Linked DNA regions of Lonchura striata. The protein of the gene in region 1 interacts with the protein of each later gene in a biochemical or structural test. Links are inferred from orthologs where the notes say so. Each region holds a gene or a part of one and is shown on either strand. Other genes may lie near its edges.

Evidence for each region.
Region 2: the proteins of PDZK1 (region 1) and ABCC4 form a complex in vitro, tested with the Homo sapiens proteins (2 studies listed by BioGRID and IntAct, with this or other methods). The link is inferred for Lonchura striata from reciprocal best matches to the Homo sapiens genes PDZK1 and ABCC4.
Region 3: the proteins of PDZK1 (region 1) and CFTR form a complex in vitro, tested with the Homo sapiens proteins (2 studies listed by BioGRID and IntAct, with this or other methods). The link is inferred for Lonchura striata from reciprocal best matches to the Homo sapiens genes PDZK1 and CFTR.

The regions. Positions count from the first base shown.
Region 1 is NC_134604.1:14,078,380-14,082,127, reverse strand, and holds the start of PDZK1 (Na(+)/H(+) exchange regulatory cofactor NHE-RF3), read right to left. Parts: upstream 2,284-3,748; 5' UTR 2,229-2,283; intron 473-2,228; 5' UTR 471-472; coding exon 261-470; intron 1-260. UniProt on the Homo sapiens protein: A scaffold protein that connects plasma membrane proteins and regulatory components, regulating their surface expression in epithelial cells apical domains.
Region 2 is NC_134604.1:76,663,712-76,667,459, forward strand, and holds the start of ABCC4 (ATP-binding cassette sub-family C member 4), read right to left. Parts: upstream 2,205-3,748; 5' UTR 2,114-2,204; coding exon 2,040-2,113; intron 1-2,039. UniProt on the Homo sapiens protein: ATP-dependent transporter of the ATP-binding cassette (ABC) family that actively extrudes physiological compounds and xenobiotics from cells.
Region 3 is NC_134607.1:34,226,202-34,229,949, reverse strand, and holds the start of CFTR (cystic fibrosis transmembrane conductance regulator), read left to right. Parts: upstream 1-1,559; 5' UTR 1,560-1,681; coding exon 1,682-1,734; intron 1,735-3,748. UniProt on the Homo sapiens protein: Epithelial ion channel that plays an important role in the regulation of epithelial ion and water transport and fluid homeostasis. Mediates the transport of chloride ions across the cell membrane.

The DNA.
Region 1 (3,748 bases):
TGGAGTGATGGAGCTAAAAGCTTTACCCAGGAAAAGCTGCACTGTCTACTGCTTCTGTTGTCTCACCCCCTGCTCATGCACTAGGGAGGCATCCCAAAGACATTCCATGCCCATGGTGGGTAATGAACGATACAGGGGGATACTCAGAGCAGTTGACTCTGCTCCTGGGTTTCCTAGCCATAAAAACTGGAAGAAAAAGCTTCACACAGCAGCTGTGGGCCTGGGGCATGGTGTGGATCCCAGCCTGAACAGATTTGTACCTGTGCATGTTCCTCCTTGTCCACGAAGACACCGTTGACCCTGAGCACTCTGTCTCCATCCTGCAGGCCAGCCCTCTCGGCCGGGCTGTTGCGTTCCACGTTCCGCACGATGTGCCCCGCCGTGTCCTGCTCGATCCGTAGGAAGAAGCCGTATTTCTTCTGGGGCTTCTTGCTCACTGTGCACTCTCGGGGCTGCAGAGCAGGAGTCATCTCTACCAGACAGGATGGAGAAAACACCTGTGAGTATGAACAGGAAGCTTACCTGGGGTGTATTCTCCCTAATTGCATATCAAGAGGGTTTGCTTCAGAATTCTTGGGGTGTTTTTTAGGTTTTTTTTTTTTTTTTTTTTGGTTGGTTGGTTTGGATTTTTTTGGCCCCAAAAAAAACAGCTGTGCAAAGCTGAGTTTAGTTAACAAGACTAGCAAGAAGAATCTCTGACCCTCCTTGCTTTTTTTCTCTCTATATCTCACATGAAGTTAAGCAAAATGCAGAACTGAAATAAGGAAAGCCTGCCTGAAAACATAGTAAGGATTGTAGAAAGGGTGTAATACCAGGATTAAGTCTTACAAAGGAAATGAAGTTTTGGGAAAAGAGAATGGAGTGAAGGGATTGTTCCCCTCCCTTTGACACTTGGGGGACCACATGTGAATACTATCCCCAGTTTTGATCTCCCCAAGTAATTACCATATTTGAGCTAGTTCACAGAGGGAATTTTGGTTCTGAAACACTTATTTAAGGAGGCTGAGAGAGCTGGATTTGTTCAGTCTTGGGAAGAGAAATTAAAGGCAAGATCTTCTTGATATCGTCCCACTGCCTAACTGGATTGTGTGGAGAACACAGCCAGACTCTTCTTGGAAATAAACAGTGGGAGGATGAGAGGGAACAGACAGGCTGCAGCACAGCAAGGGAAATTCCAACCAGACATTCATAAGAACAGCTTTTCCTCTTGGGGCCAGTCAGGTATGACTAGAAGTGTCCAGAGAGGCTGTGAAATCTCTGTCCTTGGAGATACCTGGATTGGGCCCTGAGTAACCTGATCTAAGCTGACTCTGTTTTCTATGGGACATTGCACCAGGCCACCTCTAAAAGTCCCTACCTAAAATGCTCTGGGATGTGAAGAAACTGTGGTTTGGGTGAAGTTCGTCATGCAGGAATACCATGTATAGAAAGTAAATAACAGGTGGGGCCAGAGAACATCTCTCAAAACATTGTCCTGCTGAAGATCCATGAAGATGGGGGAACGAGACAAATGAAGACAAATTCCTCCAGTTGTAAAAATCCAGATAATTAGCAACCTTGGTTACTATTTTACTGGAAAGACTTTTTTTTCCCGTCCCTTTACTGACAGAAGTCAGTTCTTTAGATCTGCTGGCAGTCAAATCCTTCTGTGAGAGCAGCTTAGTGCAGAACCACTGCTGTAGCTACCCACGGTGCAGACTCTTTGCTGCACTGCTGATGTTACTTGGGCAGCACATAGAACAGCATGGATGTGTGGGGTGAGTTTGGCACAGATGTCACTGGAGCTGGAGAATACAGGAATTTCAGTTTGCAAGGATATGCATCCTGCAGAGCATGATTCACTTGTAGTCCATGGACCAGTGCTTTGAGTATTTTTGAGTCTCTGTGTATTACACTGACATTAGCTAATATTGGGATGAACTTCCCTGCTATTTAAACATGGTTTAGAACACATCAGACTGTATCAATTGCAAGTACCATTCAAAGTAGCTTTTCTCGACAAACACTGGGAATCTGTGATAATTCATAAATTAAGATGCAAAACCAGTACTACACAGAGCTGGAGAAACAGTAGGCTTCTATGAGAGAAAATTATTTCTTCATATTTAGAAGTGGAGAGAAGGTTACAGTGCACTGCATACAACACCTTTTGATCCATGCAAAATCATTTGTCTTGCAAAAATAACTTTCCAAAGGGAAAAGGGGTTAGGAAAAAATGAACTTCTTACCTGTATCAATGTAGAGCAGCCTTGACTGGAGTTGTCTTTTGCCGTTCCTCCTGAGCTGTACGTATAAGTAAGACTGGACTTTGATTGGGTAAAGGTTGATTTAAAAGATTATTTATTTAACTAAGTTTCACTGAATGTGTGATACTTTGATAGGCTATCTTGTCCTTGGGGGCAGAAGTGCTAATCACGTGCATTTCTCATTAGCTTTGCATTTTGTCCTACTGATATTATACTCAAAAACTCACTCAAGGAGGTCATCTGAGGCAAGCCTGACCTTTGTCTGGGCTAAAGTCTTCTGCTCTGAGAAATGTCTTAAAGTGAGCAGGTTTAGGTGCTGCTGGATTGACCTGGGCCAGCAGCATTTGCTTGCAGGTTAGGAAGTTACTGGTTAAAATTTGCATGCCCATTGTTGGATGGAAAAATAAAAGGCTGTGCCAGGTTAACCTTGACCAGCAGCCAGATGCCCACTGAGCCACTTTCCTCTACATGGGGACATGGGGAGAAAACAGGATGGAAAAACTTGAAGAATTCAAGATAGGGACCATGCCTGGGAGAGATGCATTGGAAAAAAAAAGGGTTTGTGATTTGAGGGGTGGACCCTGACTGTTGAGGCCTTAACACATGTGAAACATGTACTGCAATCAAGTGACCTGTGTAGGTACAATCTCCCTGGAGCAGGTGGAGGGAGGTGCTTGTGATATCAATATGGTGAGGCATGGCAAACTGGCTACACTGTAGGTGCACTGGGAGAGGCTGTGTGGGTTTCTCTGCCTTGGGAAAAGGCAAGTGCGTTTGTGGGATTGTCTTTGCTCAGGAACCCAGGTGCACTTGGTGCAGGAGAAAGTGGAAATCTGCTGTCTACCTCAAGGAGATTTACCCCTGGCAGAAAAGAATCCATTATTTGAGTTGTGTGATATAGGAAGGAATACAGCAGGAATCATCTGAACCAACAGAGAATGAGCCTCACCAGGAACCATGTGAGTGCAGTGCTCACCCACCCCAAGTGGTCTTGTTGCTTAACAATCCAACGTGGTGCTGTCCTGAGTGATCCCCTTGACAGATAGGGCCAAAGCAATTGACTGTTCTTATGGAAATTTGGGGGAGGGAGGGCGTGGAATGGGGGAATACTATCTGCATATATGTCAAGAGACAAGGTATAGTGGTTATAGAGGATGTGTAAACCTGACTGTTGGATGTAACAATGGTTTAGGTACGTAGTATAAGTTGTAAATGTTGGTAAGAAGCAATTTCATGAAGGATAAATAGATGGAATGAAAAGGTTTGAGTAGGGCATAGAAATGAAGCAATGTATGAGTGGCACAGAGGATACTTTGATATCTCAGATCACACATGACATGAATGGTGTGGAATGAGGAGTTGGAACTGTACTGTTCTGGCTGGGGTGGAGTTAACTCTCCCCTGGCAGCCTTCATGCTGCTGTGCTTTGCATCTGTGGCTGAGACAGTGTTGATACCACACCACTTTTTTGGCTGCTGAGAAACACTGTTTTCTTCTTCTTG
Region 2 (3,748 bases), about 63 Mb from region 1:
CAAAACTTTTTGCAGAAAATTGACAGCCCCTGCTTATTCAGTTTTACCACAAGGCTCAATTTTGACCAGGCTAAACAGTGGAGAAGAATGAAGGTATCATTTCAGCTGAAATGTACACCCAGAAAACACTAATGCTTGTTGACTAATATACCCATGTTAGTTGTGATCACAAGCACCACAGGTAAGAGACAAGACTTTAGAAGGCTATTTTCACTGCTTTGAATTACACTGCTATAAAAGCCTGATAAGCAGGACACTGGGCAAATTCTAAAGCTTTACATGCTCCACTAAATGCTTTTCCAAAGCAGAAGCTTTATGGTTGTACACCAGCATCTGACTGTGAAGTCTCAAGTCCTAGTTGATCTCTGGACTCTGAGCAGAGCTGTCATTCCCCAAGCACAGCCTTCCACCTATTTTCCCTTAGCAAAGTAAGAACCTAAAAACAATGCAGAGTGATACAGAAGGCCACAAAAAGAATGATACAAGCAGTCAGAAAGCTGGCTATGAGCACTGCATCACATCTAGCTGGATTGGTTTTGGCAGAACTACCAGTAACACCACAAGATTCCAGCAAGGGAAAGGGAACAGACCAGAAGCAGTTGTGGAATGCTACATGGCCAACTTAGGTTCATCCCATTCTGCTTGGATTTTACAACAAAGCTGTTTCCAACACAGGCATCCCTGGTGTTAAAGGGAAAAGTCAAAATCCTGAACACAGGGAGTTCTGCACCAGCATACAAGCTGCCTTTTTTATTATTACTTACTTATTTTCTTTGTTTTTTGCAAATAGTACCTCTGAAGATATATCTTTGACTGATAAACAAGTTTAGTTAAAATTTGTCAGGGTTTTTAAAACCCCACTACCTTCCAAAGGGGACTTCTGCACCTGCTCAGAGTTGCTTATAGAATCAAAGAGTTTTTAATTTGTGTTTCAGAGGCTTCCAAAAAAAGAGCTTCACCTGCCATGCCCTCCCTTCCTTCCCCCTCCTCCACCACACAACATGTGCACCCTGGTTCAGGCTGCAGCCGGTGAAGCAGGATAAGAACTTTCTCGGGAAGTGCTCTTCCAAATGGGATCTGCTAGGACAAACAAGTTTGGTGCTCTCCCGTTTTACTTTGCAAATGTTTTCCTACTACAGTTCAAAGCAACTAAAACGCCGAGCTGCAATTCCTCACCTCTTTGAGTACACATAGATACCCACGCCGAGGTCCCCAGAAGAAGACCAAGCACTAACTCTGGGCTGGGAGCCCTGTGGCCCCGTACAGTTTGTGGCAACACCGCCAGCCCTCGCTCCGTGAGACCCAAGCCCCTCCGGAGCGGGGGCAGCAGAGGCGTGGGCGAGCGCAGCCAGGATGCTGCCCCGCCACCCCTTACCCCGGGGAGTTCCCACGCAGCCACACGGGTCAGAACCACCTCACTGCCGGAGGGCAAAGCCTCACGCCGGGATGAGCAATCCCCGCCCGCGACCCGTTATTCAAACGGGGAATCACAAGAATGCCCGGGAGCAGCCCTGCACCCAGTCCCCGGCAGGGCTGCCCGGGCCAGGAAGCAAAAGGCGCTCCCGTCCTCCCCGCAGCTACCGAGGGAACAAACATGTGCTCCGAGGGGCCGACGGGGCCGCGCTCGGCGCCGCCCGCCCGGCGGAGCGCCGCCGCGCCGACAGGCAGGCCCCCGGCTGCGCCGTCCGCAGACCGCAGCCGGGGATTATCGCGGGCTGCCGGCGTCACCTCAGGAGACCTCAGCCCACCTGCGACCCGGGGCTACCCGGGCGGGCAGCGCTGGCAGCCGGGCCCGCGGGGGCGGGCGGCAGGTCGCGCCCGAGCCGCGCCTGCACAATCATCAAGCAGCGGGGCAGCGCCGGCCGCCGCTTCCCTTCCCGGCGCCCGGACGCTCCGGGAGCCGCGCTCAAGTGCGAGCCGGGCACCCTCAGCCGAGCCTGGGCACTCCCGAGCGGCCGGGCGAGGTGAAGCCAGCGGCGCTGTGCCCGGCGCCGCGCCTCCAGCGCTGCCCTCCCCCCTGCCCTCGCCCGGGCGCTCACCAGAAAAAGAGCCGGGAGCAGAGGTTGGCATCCTGCAGCGGGTTAGGCTTCTCCTCTCGGGGCACCGGCTCCATGCCGCCCGCCACGCCGCCCCGACCCGCCCGGCGTGCGGCGAGGGCGCAGGACCACGGGCGACTTCCCACCGCCAGCAGCCGCTGCTCCGCCGCCGGCCGGCGCTGTTTCCGGGAGAACCAGCACCCCCGCCTCGGCCCTCCTCCTCCTCCTCTTCCTCCTCCTCCGGCTGGCCGCCACAAGACGCCTCCTGCCGGCCCGGCTTCCCCGCGACGCCCGAGGAGGTGCCGGGCAGCGCCGGAGCCGCTCCGCTGCGGCTGGCTCAGTGCGGACCGAGCCCCTGGCCGGCAGGCTCTGCTCCCCCCGCTTTCGCACCTGTGTGTGCCCCTTGCTGATGGAAAGCATCTCCTCGCTGCACGCAGCGCCAGGCGAGGTGGCGCTGGATTTTTGGACAGAAAAATCCCTCACGAGTCAAGGGCAAGTCAGACTTAGCGGGACCAAACGCTTGCTGTCAGCGCTCCTTCCCTGATATTGCATATTCTTCTATTAGAAATCGATAACCAAACCATAAGAACAATGTTTAGGAGAGGTTGGCGATACATAATAAAGGAGCGAATTAATTTCAGGACGTGGCGTATCACTGAAATTGACAGTTCTAAAGGTTCAGCAGGTAGCCTCCTCTCCAGTCACCTCACCTATGGCCTGCCAAAGGGACCCTGATGAAGAAGAGCGAAAACTGCAAGGAAAGCAGAAAATGCAGGACAGGTACCTGAAGTAACCTAAGAATTGTTAATCTCTGTGGCAGAATGATTCCCTGCCATGCTTTTATTTCTCTGCAGTCTATAAAATCCAGGATGGCTGAGGTTGCAAGAGACCTCTGGAGGTCAGCTGGTCCAATCCCTGCTGTTTAAGTGCCATGCCCAGGCAGCTTCTGAGTATCTCCAAGGATGGAGATACTCTCCATAGTATACACAGCCCCTCTGGGCAACCTATGCTAGTGCTTAGTCACCCCCACAACGAAGAAGTGTTTCTTGATGTTCAGATGGAACCTGCTGTGTTTCAGCTTGTACCCATTGCTTCTGGTCCTGTCACTGGGTACTACAGAGCAGAACTTGGTTCTGTCCTTTGTTCATCAATATACACACTAATGAGACCCCTCTTAGCCTGGTCTCCAGTCCCTCTCAGCCTTTCCTCATAGGAAAGATTACTAGACTCCCTTCATCATCCTTGTGACCTTTCACTGCAGTCTCTCCAGTATGTCCATGTCCCTCTTGGACTGGGGAGCCCATAACTTAATGTAGGACTCCAGGTGGTCCTCACTTCTGAGTAGAGAGGAAAGATCACCTCAGGTCTGCTGGTAAATACTCATTCTAATGCATCCTAGCATATCATTAGTCTTCTTTGCCACAAGGACACATTGCTGGCTTATGTTCAACTTGGTGTCCACCAGGACCCCAAGCTAGCCCCCAGCCCATAGTGGTGCCTGGGGTTGTTACTCCCTGGGTGCAGGACTTTGCTCTTCTGTTTTTCGAACTTCATGAAGTTCCTATGAGCCTATTTTTCCAGCATGTTGAGGTCCCTCTGGATGGCAGCACAGCTCTGTGGAGTGTTATCAGTCACTGATCAGCCACCGCCCCTGGTGGTCTTTATGGAAAGACTGGATGTGGCACTTGATGCCACATCTAGTTGACAAGGTG
Region 3 (3,748 bases), on another chromosome or scaffold:
GGGTGCAGTGCGGTGCGGTGCGGGTGCCCAGTGCAGTAGGGGGTGCATTGCGGGGTGCGGTGCCCAGTGCAGTAGGGGGTGCATCGCGGTGCGGTGCGGTGCGGGATGGGCTGGCGGCCCGGGCCCGGCTCCACTAGGTGGCAGGATGCCGAAGGGCTCCGCGCTGCTGTCCTGGAGCCTGGGCGGGTTTAGCCCTGCCTGTACATATTGTCTGAGGACATGATAAAATGCGGACAGTTTCCTGGAGTCCTGCCTGCCCGCGTTTCTTACTGGTTTTGTCATTAATAAAGCAGAATAGGGAAGGTTTCGAGGTCTGAGACACAAAGGAGCCCGGTGCAGTGACAGCCTAAGAGGGCACTTGTTGGCTCAGGAATCTAAGAAAAGAATTAGGCAAAGAGAAATTCTTTGTGAAAACACAGCAACGCGTAGCGAGAAACGTTGAAATAAAAAGTATCTGCAAAGTTTGCAAAAAGTAACAGCTGGTTAAATTGTAGCGCAAACTAAATGTAGAAAAGTACGTTCGCTTCTCTACAGAGCCAGTTTAGAGGGCAGAGTCTGCTTCATTCACAAAGCATGGTCTTTTCCATTCGTCTTTTTTAAGTTACAGAAATGAAAAGGCATTGGAGTGTATAAATATCAAAATAAAGCAGCAAATAAAATAAAATCCTGTACAGAATTAAATCAACATGTTCTCTTTTCTTGCTTCTTGTCATCTTTGTCTCTCTCAAATATGCTTTCTGCTGTGCGCCATTAAAGCAGTGATTTTGTTTGTATGTCACACATATAAAGCTTCAGATCTGGGTGTTTGAGCTAAACTTACTAAAGATACAGCTTCGGTTCCCATTCGTCTCGGTTCAGGTGCGGGCCTGACAAAGAACTTGAAAAACTGAAGCAAGTGTATTTTAAAGTCGGTATGATCGCGCTTGCCCGCACCCTTTCCTGGGGTGACCGCTCGCCCTCTGCCTTAAGCCCGTGTGCCGGTGCGCTCGCCCCCGGGACCGCGCAGAGGCGTGGGGCGCTGGACGGGGGCTTCTGGCCGCGGGTGCCCACCAAGGCCAAGCGCCGGCCCGGCTCCCGCGGGTCTCGGTGGGCTGCAAGCAGGCGCCCTGTGCACCGGGGCGGGCTCTGCGGTGAGCAGCTGCGCGCCCGGGAGGGCAGGGGGTGTCCACGCTCCGACGGGGCTGTCCTCGCTGCGCTGTCCCCGCCGCCCTGGACAGAGGGCAGAAGGCCCATCTGGAGGGGTGGCTTCCCCACCTCGGCACTTGGTCAGAAGAGGGGTTTAGTGCTGGGGAGAGGCTGAGGACCCGCGGTGGGGTGGCTCGGGAAGCTGAGTCGGCAGGTGGAGGTAAGGGGCTGGGCGAGAGCCGTCGGGGAGCCGGGGAGGAGAGGTGCGGGGGGAGCGGCGGGGCGCGCCCGGTGCCCGGTGCCGGGCGCGGCGGGAGGCGGGGGAGGAGCGGCGGCGGCAGCAGCGCACGGGCTGGAGCCCCAGCCCGCCCGCCTTTGAACCGGGGCAAAGCAGAGGCGGGGAGAGGGGCCGGGGCAGGAGGCGGACGGTGACATCAGAGCGGCCGGGCGGATAAGGTGGGAGAGCCGCAGGAGCGGAGTGGGCGAGCGAGGCGTCAGCGATTAGCGGCTGCCTCCGGTTCCCCGCTCACCGCATCTCGCCGCACCTCACCTCACCATGCAGAGGTCTCCCCTGGAGAAGGCGAACATCTTCTCCAAACTTTTCTTCAGGTGGGAGCCCCGGTGCGGCGGGACGCGTGCGGGCGGGGGCAGCGGGCCGGGCTGGGCAGCGGCGGGCGGGGAGCTCAGCGGGGCTCCGCGCCCCCCGCCCAGCCACTCCGGCGAGGGGGGAACCGAGCACTGGGCGCCCCGAGCTCTGTAGTGGTCTGCGGGGAGAGCGGTGGGAGTCTCGCTTTTGATGAGATCACTCTTTTTTGTTGTTGTTGCTGGGGTTTTAGCACCAGGAATGGGCTCTGTCAGGTGTCATAAACCTTTGCTGGACCCGAACAGATGAATTTATGACATAATTTGAGCAACCTTTGGTAGTTGCTCAACTAGTTAATCTCTTATTTCATGTAAACTTTGAGAACATCGTGGGGTGGTAGGGAGCAGAGGGGAAATGCTCTCAGAACAAGGATTCCTCCTGTTTGGCTCTTTGAGTGTTTAGCACTTGCTCAATGTGCAAGTATAATATATGATCTTACTGTAAACAGTTCCTTGCAAGCTTTGAATGTGTTCTCTTACAAGCAAACTCCCTAGTGACTTCTCTTTCTAAAAACTTCAAATAAAAAGAGAAGGAGCCAATACTAGTGCCTGGGCACAATGTACTTTGTAAGACAATATGGAAGCTGAATAAGTCTTATGTGACATCCCTAGAAATGACACTGTGAACTGGAAGGAGCAAATAATCTCTTTGGCATTGGCCCACACAGCACTGCTTTTGCCAGAGTACTGGTTCCCTCTTTTGTTACCGGGGGGTCTCTTGCATGGCAAGGAAGGGTGAGAGGAAATCTTGTGTAAGATGTGAACATGATGACTGAAGTGAGAGTGCATGGTGTAAAACTATAACATTGTTGTGAGGTCTCTGCCTGAAAAACTGAGGGCTTTTAGCTCACTTTAAAATCCTTTTGGGATAGCTTTCAGCAGGTTGGTCTGCACATTTTTGAAGTTTCTTAATGGGACTCTGTATGAGTCACTGTTTGCCTGTCTCTCCCCCTTTGGTGCATGTTAGCCAGATATAATAGCAGGGAATAATCCCAAATATAACCTGTTCCTAAAGTTTTACCAACATCCAGGTAAACATAGTGATCTTATATGTTTTCTCCAATGGTGCTGCAGTGGGAAAAAAGCCTTGTTTGCTGTCAAATACTGTTAGAGTCAAAGAGTATGCATGACAGGGGTGTACTGTGTACAGTAATGATGTACACAGTAATGTGTACATAAATGATGCTTCAGTCAGTGTTCCTGTCAAGTATAAGACAGAATCTGTAGGAAATAATTCTGTATCTTAATTTAGTAGCTTGAGGGGGCCACTTGCTCTATTTAATTTTATTTATTTACAAATTTATATGAATTTATAATCTTAGAACCTAGGGTGTTGAAGGTGTGAAGAAAAAAACCAAATAAGATAAAGCAAATACATTTCTGATTCCTACCATAGTGAAAGTTTTCATGTCTGAAACCAGATGCAGTTCATGCTCATTAAGTATGTAATTAACCATCCAGATGCCTGTGCTCACCTTTTAAATCACAGTCTTTAAGTCAATTGAATGTTGTTTTAATCATGTTTGTCATGCATGATGCATTATACTGTACCAGCTTTTGGTCAGGTGACTGTAACCAAAGTGATAATAATAAAATATATGAAGTTAAGGAGATGTTCATGATGAATATTAACTAGAGCAAAGAAATGGAAAAGAGATGTATGGAGAGAGATTGCTTTTTTCAGTGATAATGAAATAGTTGTTATCAAGTACAACACAGTACATGTTTCAGTGAAGTGACTTTTATGAGAGTCTGCAATGCATTTATGTGTGAAGTACCAATCTGAATATAATGTAATAAGTTGAAGATCATGTTAGCACAAGTGATGTTAAAATATTAACTATGATTGTTCAGGAAATCTTTCTGATAAATATATTACTATTTAATATTGTACAAACTGTTATCAGCTATAGATGCATAAACATCTTGGCAAGGTTTTATTGCTTCATAATCTATCCTGTTTGGGTGGGAGAGGCAGGTT